Linked DNA regions of Caenorhabditis elegans. The protein of the gene in region 2 interacts with the protein of the main gene of each other region in a pairwise test. Each region holds a gene or a part of one and is shown on either strand. Other genes may lie near its edges.

Evidence for each region. Proteins that work in one complex are often made in the same cells at the same time.
Region 1: the proteins of F26G1.1 (region 2) and klp-15 interact in a two-hybrid assay, tested with the Caenorhabditis elegans proteins (one large-scale study listed by BioGRID).

Annotation. Positions count from the first base shown.
Region 1 is NC_003279.8:5,576,530-5,581,072, forward strand, and holds klp-15 (Kinesin motor domain-containing protein), read right to left. Parts: upstream 2,666-4,543; 5' UTR 2,653-2,665; coding exon 2,499-2,652; intron 2,368-2,498; coding exon 1,580-2,367; intron 1,533-1,579; coding exon 1,097-1,532; intron 1,050-1,096; coding exon 664-1,049; 3' UTR 541-663; downstream 1-540. Other genes in the region: rmh-1 (RecQ-mediated genome instability protein 1 homolog), read left to right, coding at 1-108; ctnb-1 (Beta-catenin-like protein 1 N-terminal domain-containing protein), read left to right, coding at 3,137-3,193, 3,236-3,796, 3,841-4,044, 4,089-4,197, 4,261-4,505.
Region 2 is NC_003280.10:4,789,875-4,796,209, reverse strand, and holds F26G1.1 (VPS35 endosomal protein sorting factor-like), read right to left. Parts: upstream 4,593-6,335; 5' UTR 4,589-4,592; coding exon 4,375-4,588; intron 4,329-4,374; coding exon 3,955-4,328; intron 3,898-3,954; coding exon 3,757-3,897; intron 3,710-3,756; coding exon 3,574-3,709; intron 3,529-3,573; coding exon 3,442-3,528; intron 3,396-3,441; coding exon 2,912-3,395; intron 2,463-2,911; coding exon 2,303-2,462; intron 2,208-2,302; coding exon 1,788-2,207; intron 1,737-1,787; coding exon 1,539-1,736; intron 1,488-1,538; coding exon 1,300-1,487; intron 1,255-1,299; coding exon 1,105-1,254; intron 1,020-1,104; coding exon 899-1,019; intron 853-898; coding exon 700-852; 3' UTR 542-699; downstream 1-541. Other genes in the region: C33F10.4 (Alpha_adaptinC2 domain-containing protein), read right to left, coding at 248-445; F26G1.15 (Neuropeptide-Like Protein), read right to left, coding at 4,903-5,009, 5,075-5,183, 5,823-5,894.

The DNA.
Region 1 (4,543 bases), on a different chromosome or scaffold from region 2:
TTCAAACGTCTTGATCTTCTTTTATGGGTTGAGGTTTCACCAGAGCGTAACCAAATTCCGCTCATTCTTGACGTGAAAACGATTTCTGATGCTCTCAATATTTTGTAATTATTTCTATTGCTTGCTACCTGAATTCACGTGTACCACAATATAGTCATGTATTATTTAATTGTTCTTGTTTTTTTGTTGTTTCCAAATACAATACAACTGTTTTAAGCTTTTTCTTTCGTTAAAATTTCTTTAAAACAGAAATGTAACAAAAAACATAAATTTAAACAAACTGTATGGAAAACTGTACAGTTTTCGATACAACGAGAGTTTGAAACTACAGTACTCTTTAAAGGGTCATGCCATTTTCGAATTCATCAAAAGTTCGTCGGGTCGAGACATACATACTACAGTAAGAAATGTAATATTCTCATAAAGCTCAAAACAATGTATTTATAACCCAATCAACAGCATTTAGACCGGACTATATTTTTCCTATCGGGATCTCCCTTTGTTTTGAAACAGACGATTAAAACTCAAAAAACGCAAAGTAAAATTGAAATTCGTTCATTTTGTTAATGATCGAAATATTTAGGTTACATCAGTATAAAAGGTTTGCATAAGGCAATAAAAATAACGTTATTTTACATGAAATGTTAGAATAGAATTATATGTCTAGTTCATAGACATCTGGGACACGTCACCCAAGAGAGTCCGTTGCTGCACGGCCGATCCGATGTTAGTACTGCGCATCTTTGAGGCGAATTCGATGCTTCTCTTGGACTCTGTCGCTTGCTCGTTGCATGGATTGAGATTGACCACAACCATAGTCTTCGAGTTGCCACGTCCCAAGCAGTCCATCAGCACTTGTGTCAGTTTGCTGTCGCGATATGAAACATGTCCCTTCTGGGATCTTTGCTGGCTGATGCACATCTGAAGGATAGACAACGACTGGTTGATATTAGTCATCTCCTTGAACTGGTCGCCACTGACACCAGACTCCTTGGCACGTTCGGATCCTGCGAGATCCACAAGTTTGAGCTGGCACGATGTTGAAATTCCTGTATATCAATATTGTGAATTAATTATTTTTATTTTCGAAAGTTACCAGTTGATGGCTGATGAGCTGTAATCTTCCACATATAAACGGCGTGCGAACGAGACGAGCTCTCATTGCACTTTGTCGCCGCCGTCTTCCTGCCACCGTCTGCTACACGAAGAAGTCTAGCCACATCCGAGACATTGGAAATCGTGTGCTCGGAGAGCCCAATCATGGAAACCGTTTGATCGTTCAAACGAAGTTGGACAACGGCGCGGTCACTGAGAAGGTCGTATGCCACGTTGTTGTAGACTTCTAGGAAAGACAACGAGAAGTCGAATTTCCATCCAAGTGACTCGAGCTTTCTGGATTCGGCGAACAGAAATGCAGCTGCTCTCGGGATGATTCCTTCCTCTTCACCATTTCCTCCTCGCATCGTGTGAGTTTTGCCACTTCCGGTTTGTCCATAGGCAATCAATCCGACGTTGTACCCATGCAGTGACGACTGAAATTATCAATTTTCAATTATTAATATTATATTTTGAAACTAACCCGAATGAACTCCTCGACGTTCGCGAACACTTCCTTCTGCGAGAAGACTGGCGTGAAAACCTTCTCGAATTTGACCACAATTCCAGGCTTCGAGCCTTCATTGATTCTGATGGTATCGATAGCCGGATACTCAATTGCAGAACTCGAGGCGTCGGCTTCAGATTTGATCAACGGCCGAACGCGAACAGCCACACGAATTTGACCGCGTAAATCGACAACATCGTTGTGCAACTTTCTCAACTCAGCTTCCTTTTCGTTGAGCAGATCCCGGAGATCGTTGTTGTGCACACGATAATCCTCGCACTCCTCCACTTTCGCCTTGTTGACTTCTTTCAGCGTGCTCAATTGATCTTGCAGTGAAATCAGCTTGCGATCCGCTCCTTCAAGTTTGCCATCCAGGATTTGGATCTTGCTCTTCTGATGTTCAGCAAAGTCGGTAGCCTCAGCCATCGCACTCTCGAGCTGCGCAATTTTCTCTTCAAGAAGCGCCATCTTAGAAGGGAGAATAGGCTTCTGTGCCACTGGTCGGGCTCTTGTCACCGACGGCTTCAGGGAAGAAGTCGCAGTTGAGCGTTGAGTGGATGGTGGCGGTGGACGACCTGTGCGAAGTTGTCGAAACGTAGAAGCTGCCGTCAGTGTGGAAATACGGCTCGCGGTGGATTGCATCGTTGGTATGGGACGGGAACACGACGCTGGTTTGGCCATCGCTGATCGTTCTGGCAACGATGCTCTACCAGTTGCAGGCGTTGTGGGGGTAGGCAAACGAGACGGAGGACGACGAGCAGCGGCTGAAAACTCGTAATTAAAGTAGTTGTTAACAAAAAAGGTTTTAAACAAAAACAAAAACATGTTTTATTTAGAAGTGTGAACACTTTGAAATCACGAGGAAGTTATTTAAAAACACAAATGACAAATTTACCTCCAATCGTTATTCCTCCAGGAGCCGACTGTCTTGGGATTGTTGTTGAATTGGCTTCTTTGGTGGATGGCGCGGCAGCACGTCCTCTTGTGATCTTCGGCGTTGCTCCGATAGTCGACCGAAACAGGCCACTTCTTCTTCGAGCGACATTCATCGCGAAATTTGGGACAAAAATGAGGAAATCAGCCCCTTCATTGACATTTTCCCGCTCAAAGTTGAACTCCGCCTCTGAAAATTCCCGCCAAATCGAATGGATTACCGTAGTCAACTACGGTATTAGATCAAAAATTTATATCATGTTGAGCTCATCCAGAATTGTCGGATATAATTATTTTGTTGTCAAAAGGCATAAAGAATGCCGTAAAAATTATTTATAACTATAACACAGAAGGCTTATCCATAATTGCACTGATATCAGGTTATACAAACAAATATATAAAATGCAGGTCTAGAAATTATAATGTGAGCGACACTCCGATATTCCGGTGCGCGCCTTGTTTACCGTATATCTACACCAAAGTAATTGCAAAAAAAAAATTTGAAAATATTTGCTTGCGAAAATTTTTATACACTTTCTTCAATATTTTGATTTTTCTGTGGTTTTTTAAAAATATAGGTTGGTAAATGATTGTTTCCAGATGACTTCTATCGATGTAACAGAGATTATCAAATCATCGACATCTTCTTTGTATCAGGTAAATTGATATTAAATTTTTTTGATTATAAATAGTTTACAGCCAGCAAGAAAGAAATCTCGTTTTGACGATAGTGCTTCTTCTTCATCTCAAGCTGGCCAGCCAAAACCAGAAGATATTCTTGCGGCTTTGGAAGCCGATCAATCAAATTATGTGGCTCTCGACGATGTGCAAGTTAAGAAACTTGTTATTCAACTTGACAAAAAGATGCGATTAAATCGAGAACAAAGAGTTAAAAATCCAGATGATGCTCAGAAATTCATGGAATCGGAAATTGAATTAGACAAGGCAATTCAAGAAATGCATAGTCTGGCTTCTCAACCAGACCTTTATGGATCGTTTGTTGAAGTCAACGGAGTTGAAATTCTTCTTCAATTATTAGGACACGAGAATACTGATATTGTGTGTGCAACACTTAGTCTCTTGAGAGAACTTACAGACGATGATGTGATGAACGAAGGAGAAGATGGAGCAGCTGAACTTATTGAAAGTCTTGTGTCTGGATCGATTATCACAACTTTGTTAGCATGCGTAGAGAGGCTCGATGAAAGCGTCAAAGATGAAGCGGATGGCGTCCATAATGCACTCGGAGTTGTGGACAATGTAAGAAAAATCGATATTTGAAAAACAAAACAATATATTTTCAGATGATTGGTTTCCGCGATGACATTACTGAAGAATGCGTAAAGCACGGATTCACGGTTTGGCTTCTGAAAAGATGCTTTCAGAAAGGTGCATTTGATGCGAATAAGATGTACGCTTCGGAACTTCTTTCAGTCATATTGCAGACTTCTGATACTGCAAAGGCAAAGCTGACAGAGAAAATTGATGGCATCGATATTTTATTGAGAGTGAGTAGCCAAACAAAGTATCAAGAATAAATTGAACTTTTAAGACCATTGCTGTGTACAAAAAGAACGATCCAGCAAATGTAGACGAACGAGAATACATGGAAAATCTATTCAACTCACTTTGTGCCGCACTTATGCATCCGGCTAATCGAAGTACGAATTTTTTTGAATATAAACACCAAAAAAATTGCTCTTGTTCAAAATAAATGTTTTCAGAAAAGTTCCTCGACGGAGAAGGTCTTCAATTGATGAATTTGATGCTCCGAGAGAAGAAACAAGCAAGACAAAGTGCTCTGAAAGTTCTGAACCATGCAACATCAGGAGACGAGGGAATCGAAAATTGCAATAAACTTGTCGAAATGCTCGGATTGAGAACAATTTTCCCGTTATTCATGAGAACACCTTCAAAGACAAAAAGAAAGGATACGACACCTGATGAACATGAAGAACACGTTTGTACGGTAAGATTTATGTTGTGATATTATTTTGAATGTTTTAG
Region 2 (6,335 bases):
TTGCGTCAAAAGGACGGTACTCGGTCTCGACACGAAAAATTTTCAAACATTTTTAAAAAGGGGTTGCGCCTTTACAGGTTACTGTACTTTCAAATTGTCGTTGCTGCAGAAACAAAAGTTTAAAATTACAGTGCTCTTTAAAGGCGCACGCCTTTTCGCATTGAAAATAAAATTGTCGTGACCAGGGGAGATACCAAAAATGAATTTTTTCGCATCTTCGTAATATGAAACTGTGCTGAAAACCCACTTCAACAGCTAAATCATCTAATTTTTTCGATTCTTCTTTCAACTTTTGATATTTCTCAATTATCGATTTTCTATCCATCGTGTGTGATGACGTCGGCGCTCCCGCATCGAATGAATCGTCGGAATCAATTTGTATGGGCTCCGTGTCCATTCTATTATCGAAGCCTCCAAAAATATCATCGTCGCTTATATCTGACATTTATCTGGAATTGAGTTATAGTTACAGGGGAAAAAGTGGTAAAAGAAAATAATAAATGGAACTGATCCAATTAAAAATATACCAAATAAACGTAAATATAAGAAAATTGAACTTTTTTTTTAAATATTTATAACTAGTTAACTGCTATTTAAAACAATTAAAATATCACATATTAACAACTGATGTTATTTTTATTTTCCCGTAATTTTAGACAAAATAAGTTAGACAATAATAAGTTAATAGGCACTGACAAATTATAAAAGTGATAATCTCTGAAGAATATCTCGGACAGTTTCATCGTGACTGGCTTCATTCCGGAGATCCTGAATGATTGCGTCAAGGCGTTTTTGCAAATGAGCAGGCGAGCCTACTGATCGTTTCAGAAGACCTCGGATCGTGGAGCGCATCTGAAAATTTGAGGGTAGTTAAGATAGTTAACGGTTCAGTGAATACCTCTTCATGAATTTCAAATAACATGACAACATTTTCCAGTGTAATTACTGCAATGGTTGGGTCATTGGCGAGTGAGAATAGTTTTGTGATGACGTCAGAAATGTTGCAATCCACTCGAATTCTGGAAAATATATTTTTAGATTATTTAAATTTCAAAGTTGTCAATTGTTTTTCTTGAATTTTTCAAAAATTTTTTAAAGACTCACAAATGATCATCATCGCCGAAATGCAATTTTTGACTGCTATCTGCTCGAAGTGGATCAACTTTTCGGCATGTACACAGGTAACGGAGCATATTGATATAAATCTCTGCCAGTGGAACTCCTTTATACTCTTTTGACCATTCTTCGTGATTTCTGAAACATTTTTAAATTATTGTTCACAAATCTCAATAAATTCACCTTTCAACAATTGCAAGTATTTTCGAAAAATGCGAAAGAGACGGCATTTCTTCATTAAATCCTTCTGGGCAGAAACTGAGTGTTGCGAGGAACTGACTGATGAGAGGGGATACTGTAGCACACACAGAAGGACCGTTTGTGCTCATTTCGTCGAGATATTCTATCACACGCACACTCGACATTTCCATCTAAAAGGTTTATGTTTTATTTATATTTTGGCAAGCTTGTTGGAAAAATACTTGAGGAAGAAAATTGGCAAGAAGGCACATTTGAATGTTTTGCACAGTCATCTTGACGCGTCGGGACGGATCTCGGACAGCTGGGATTGTAAGTGATAGATTTGTGATGCACACTCTCATAAAATCCGCTTTTCGCTTTCCAGACTTTTGAGTACGATGGATGAACTGTGTGAAATTGAACAAAGTTTCAATGATGTGCTGTAAATATTTAAGTTTTTTTTTTCAAATTGTTTCTAATTCAAAACTAACAATTAAACTATTCTGCCGTAATCCCATGTCTTCTCGACATCTGACTATTAATTCAATGCATTGATCCAAATTTGTAAATGCTTGGAAATCAATCAGAGAAAGTGAAGAGCAAACAAGTTGCTCCGCAGCTTTGACTTCTTCTGATTCTTCCAGTCTATACGCTTTGCACAAAGTTCGACATTTCTCAATAATGAATTGACAGGCAGATATATCGGAAATCGTGTGGCGTGTGAAGGTTTTAGAGAAAATTTCCAAAATTCGTCGAGAACAGTCTGATGTTGATTGAATATCATAACCGATTAGATCTACTATTTTGATGAAACTATTTGACGTGACAATGTCCAAACAATCAGATTTATTTGCATTATGTTCCAGGAAGGCGGCAATTAGATTGATGAGAAGAGCCGTGTTTTCTGGCTTCTGAAAATTTTAATATTTTGGTAAACATTTTTATATCGGTGTAAATACATTTTCGGGTTTTTTGTTGTAAAATCTATTAAAAAACCGAAACTAACCTTAGTTTGATCATCAATTCTGAGCCGAACCAAAACCAATTCCAGAATCTTTGTGACTTCCTTCAAGGTGTAATATTTTGTAATATAAGATGTCCATGCAGCACAGCAATCGACAAAAGTTTGAAAATTCGAAATATCTGCTACACGCATCCATACTGACCTGAAACAACTCTCAAAACAATAGAGAGAAGTAGAGATAATGAGAAGGCGAATTGAGTTATACTTTAGACGGAGACAGCCGTTTGTGAGCAAGTGAGCACAATTTCGGTCACAAATAGACACAGACGTTATGTTGTGATGACGAATGTAGGGGAATTGGGGAAACGTGATGCGTAAGGCAACGTTTTTGATCCAAAAAAATTTTTCATGTCAAGAAGGAAAAATGGAGGAAATTTCCTTTTTGTAGGGGGAATATTCTCTCAAAAACATTTTTTAAGAACAAAATTTAGAAAAAGTCTGAAATTAGACCAGCCATAAACTTTTTTGGGAAATTTTTAAAGACCATCTCGAATATAATAAAATACCAAATGTTTCTGATCGGCTATTTCTCCTTAATTCATAAATTCGGATTTTTTTTGATTTCGAAAATAAATTTAGCCACTTATTTACTTTTTCACAAATTTTCTATTTTCCTCGATCGGCGCCATATTGAGATATCGTTTTCCGAGACGTGTGAGCGGTTCTTCAAAATCTTCATGTAATGCAAAAATAATATCCAGTACTTGTTCAGAATGCACGGATAAATATTTCGATGGTAATCCTTCTATCACAGCTGACACCAAAATAAACGTTTTCTCATCAAGTGGAGAAGTTTTTCGGCAGTATGCAAAAAGTGGAACAAGATCATCAACAGTGTGAGCTCCGTGAGCAACACATTGAACAATCCAGGAAACTCCTTGAATTGAGACTGCTTCTTTTCTGGCGTCCGCGAGTGAAGTTTTCTTTCGATGGAGCTCTTCCATAACATCTTTCGGTGCCTGCATCCAATCATGTAGAACTCTCCAGTGAGGAGTACGATTTAATGGATCAATGAGCATACTGTAGCGGGTTATGTGAACTCGAGCAAATATTGAAGAGAGATCATCGTTGAATTCTGAAATTATATTGATGGGTTGAATTTTTTGAAGAAAAAAACCCACGGGAGCACATTATAGCGAGGCGTTCCAAATTTATTGATAGATTTGCTGCATCGAAAAATTTCAGACACGCAATCATCGAGCATTCAACTGAAAATATTTCAATTTTTTTCTTATAAACTGAGTGGTTCTTACTATAAAACCGAATTGGAATATCTATAATTTCAGATAATTTCAGAAACCAATTCATTGCCATATCCTTCACATTTTTCGGTACCTGCTCCACGGTGAAATTCGCAGAAAGATCGGTTTGACCGTTTTTGTTTCGAGCCTGAAAATATTTAATATGATTTTTAAATTTTCTGCTCATTTTCATACCTCGTTTGACTTTGCAAGTAATCGATCGTAGAGTAATTTTCCAAATGTATCAACAACATCAATTGCAAGAAGCCAGTAATATGGATATTCTTCCGATTGTGGAGGTATAGACTGTAGAAGATTTGCCGATTCAATTACAATCTGAATTTAAATCATTTACTTATTAAACAGTAATTTATGTTATTCTGAAATCCTTACTTTAAATGATTCTACTCGATCTTCTCTTCCCCATGCGGTAATTAGATTTTCCCTGAGAATTAAAAATCTCTGCGATACATCTCCAGCTTTCTTCACATTTTTCAAATTCTTCTCATCGGAAAGTGATTTCAGGCGAGCTCGTAGAACATCAATTTGTGACATTCCAAATTCTTTTGGTTTTGCAACCAGAGCAATTTGAGCTCGTTTCTCTCTCCACGCTTGAAATTCGGGCAATTCTATGTTGAAACTCGAGTGATCGGATCGTTTGTTTTCAAGAGTGTTATCCAATGAAAAACTACGAATTGATTTCGTACTTTGCTGTAATATGTCTCGATCAACAGTTTCCTCGCCGTCTGCAGCTCCAAATGTAGCGCCTGAAATTTAAATCTATTTGTTTTTCTTCAAATTCGTCTAACCGACCAAGAGGATCTTCAAAATCATACGTTTCTTTTCCTTTTTCTTCCGATTTCTTCGATTCTAGTTTTTTGCTTTCCCATTTTGTCCAAAACGCAGCTATTTTATTTTTAGTTTCTGCGTCTTCTAACGGGTGTTGAACGGCCGGAATTACCAAATCCGGGTCGGTTTCGAATTTTCGGGCGGCGGGTCTAACTTTCCAGATTGACTCGGCCGCCATACCTTAAAAATTGAAAAATAAAAAATTATCCAGTTCGTTTTTAAGAAAAATATAAAAAAATATATAGAAAAACAAGCAAAAAAAGCAGAAATTGACTCTGAAAACATAAATAAATATATTGTCCGAGAGGAGTACACGGCCGGCGGCCGAGTCGGATGTTAGGCCACAGTGCGCGGTTGTTCAAAATAGGATTTTCCGCGAAATTTCCACTGATTTCAGTTTGTTCGTTGTATTTTTGGCATTTAAAATGAATAGTTTTCAAGAATTCAAACATGAAAACATGATAAAAACTTTATTAATCAAAATCTCAGAATCTATCGACCGAGCCACGCATTTTTCAACAAAGAATTTATCTGATCAGCAGTCACTCTTTTGTCCATTGTCCCACCGTCCGCCAACGACTCCCAATTTGGAATAACATCTGAAAACATATTATAAATTTTGAAAGTTAAACTGATCAAGCTAAAAATAAGTAAGCTAACGCACCTTCATCAACTTGTCTGTCGATTTCGTAGCGAAAAGGGACCCAATTATCATGAGAATACATTTGGTTGTACATCAGAATTGGTGAAGGATCATAGTCGAATCGTTTAGTCTGAAATTAACAAATAAAAACTCGAATTAGTGCGAAAAAAGTGCAAACATTCACCCAATTAGTACTGCAAGCTTCAAAACGCTCAACGAATCAAGTGGGCGTGGCCAAACGAGACTCCGAATTCCGCACGGCAGTTTACAGTTCTACGTGGCGTAGAAACCCCTAATTTTTGACTTTTGCGCCAATAATACCGTAAATGGTCTCGACACGACAAATTTTCATCGAATGTAAAATGGTGTGCTCCTTTAAAGAGTACTGTAGTTTAGACCTTTAGTTGCTACTGAATTTTATTGATGTTTCACAATTTTTGAGTAAGAATGTATGTATTTATGTTGGAAACTAGTATTAAATTCTGAAAAACCTTTAAGTTGTTAACGAAATGCGAAATAACAGGGAAAATTCATTGAAATTTCGAATTGCCACAGCATCGAAAGTTTGAAGTTACAGTACTCTTTAAAGGCGCACACCGTTTTTAATTTAATAAACATGTGTCATTTACCTGGTACCGTATTTTTAGCTCAAAAAACACAAAATTTTGTCTCTGGATAGTTTCAAAGGTGTTGATTATTTAATTTTTTTTTAATTATTCAAAATTGTTTTAAATTTAAAAAATTACATTAAAAAATAATAAAGTCTAACCTGAATATAATACGAGAAGACAGTGTTGCAAAAGTAGAATAGTAGCAATACGACAAATGTAAAAACCGTCATTTTGAGAGCGGACCACTCTGAAATGAAAACGATGAAAATTGATGGAAATATGTTCAAAGAACGAAATTATTAAGTAAAATGAATTGAAAATTATATTATATTTTATGTGTTCCAAGCATACACAAAACAATAACATTTTTATCCAGGAGCGGCAGCAAGGTCCATGTTATTTTCATTTTATTCTTATTTTTGGCCAACAGCGTCAGCACAACTAATTTCAGAATGGAGGAGGTCCAGGGGAGGGTCTTGAAGGCAATAATTAGCCTGATTAGTCTTCGAATACGTCATTCTGTTCATTGAGAACAAGATTTCTGATTTTCTTTTGGAACATTTTGGAGAAGAATTAGTTTGAACTTGACACGCGAACAATCTTTTTTTCTTTTCCGAAAATTGTTACGTGATGGATATATCGGTGTGGTCTGAAGACCCCATGAGTCTATT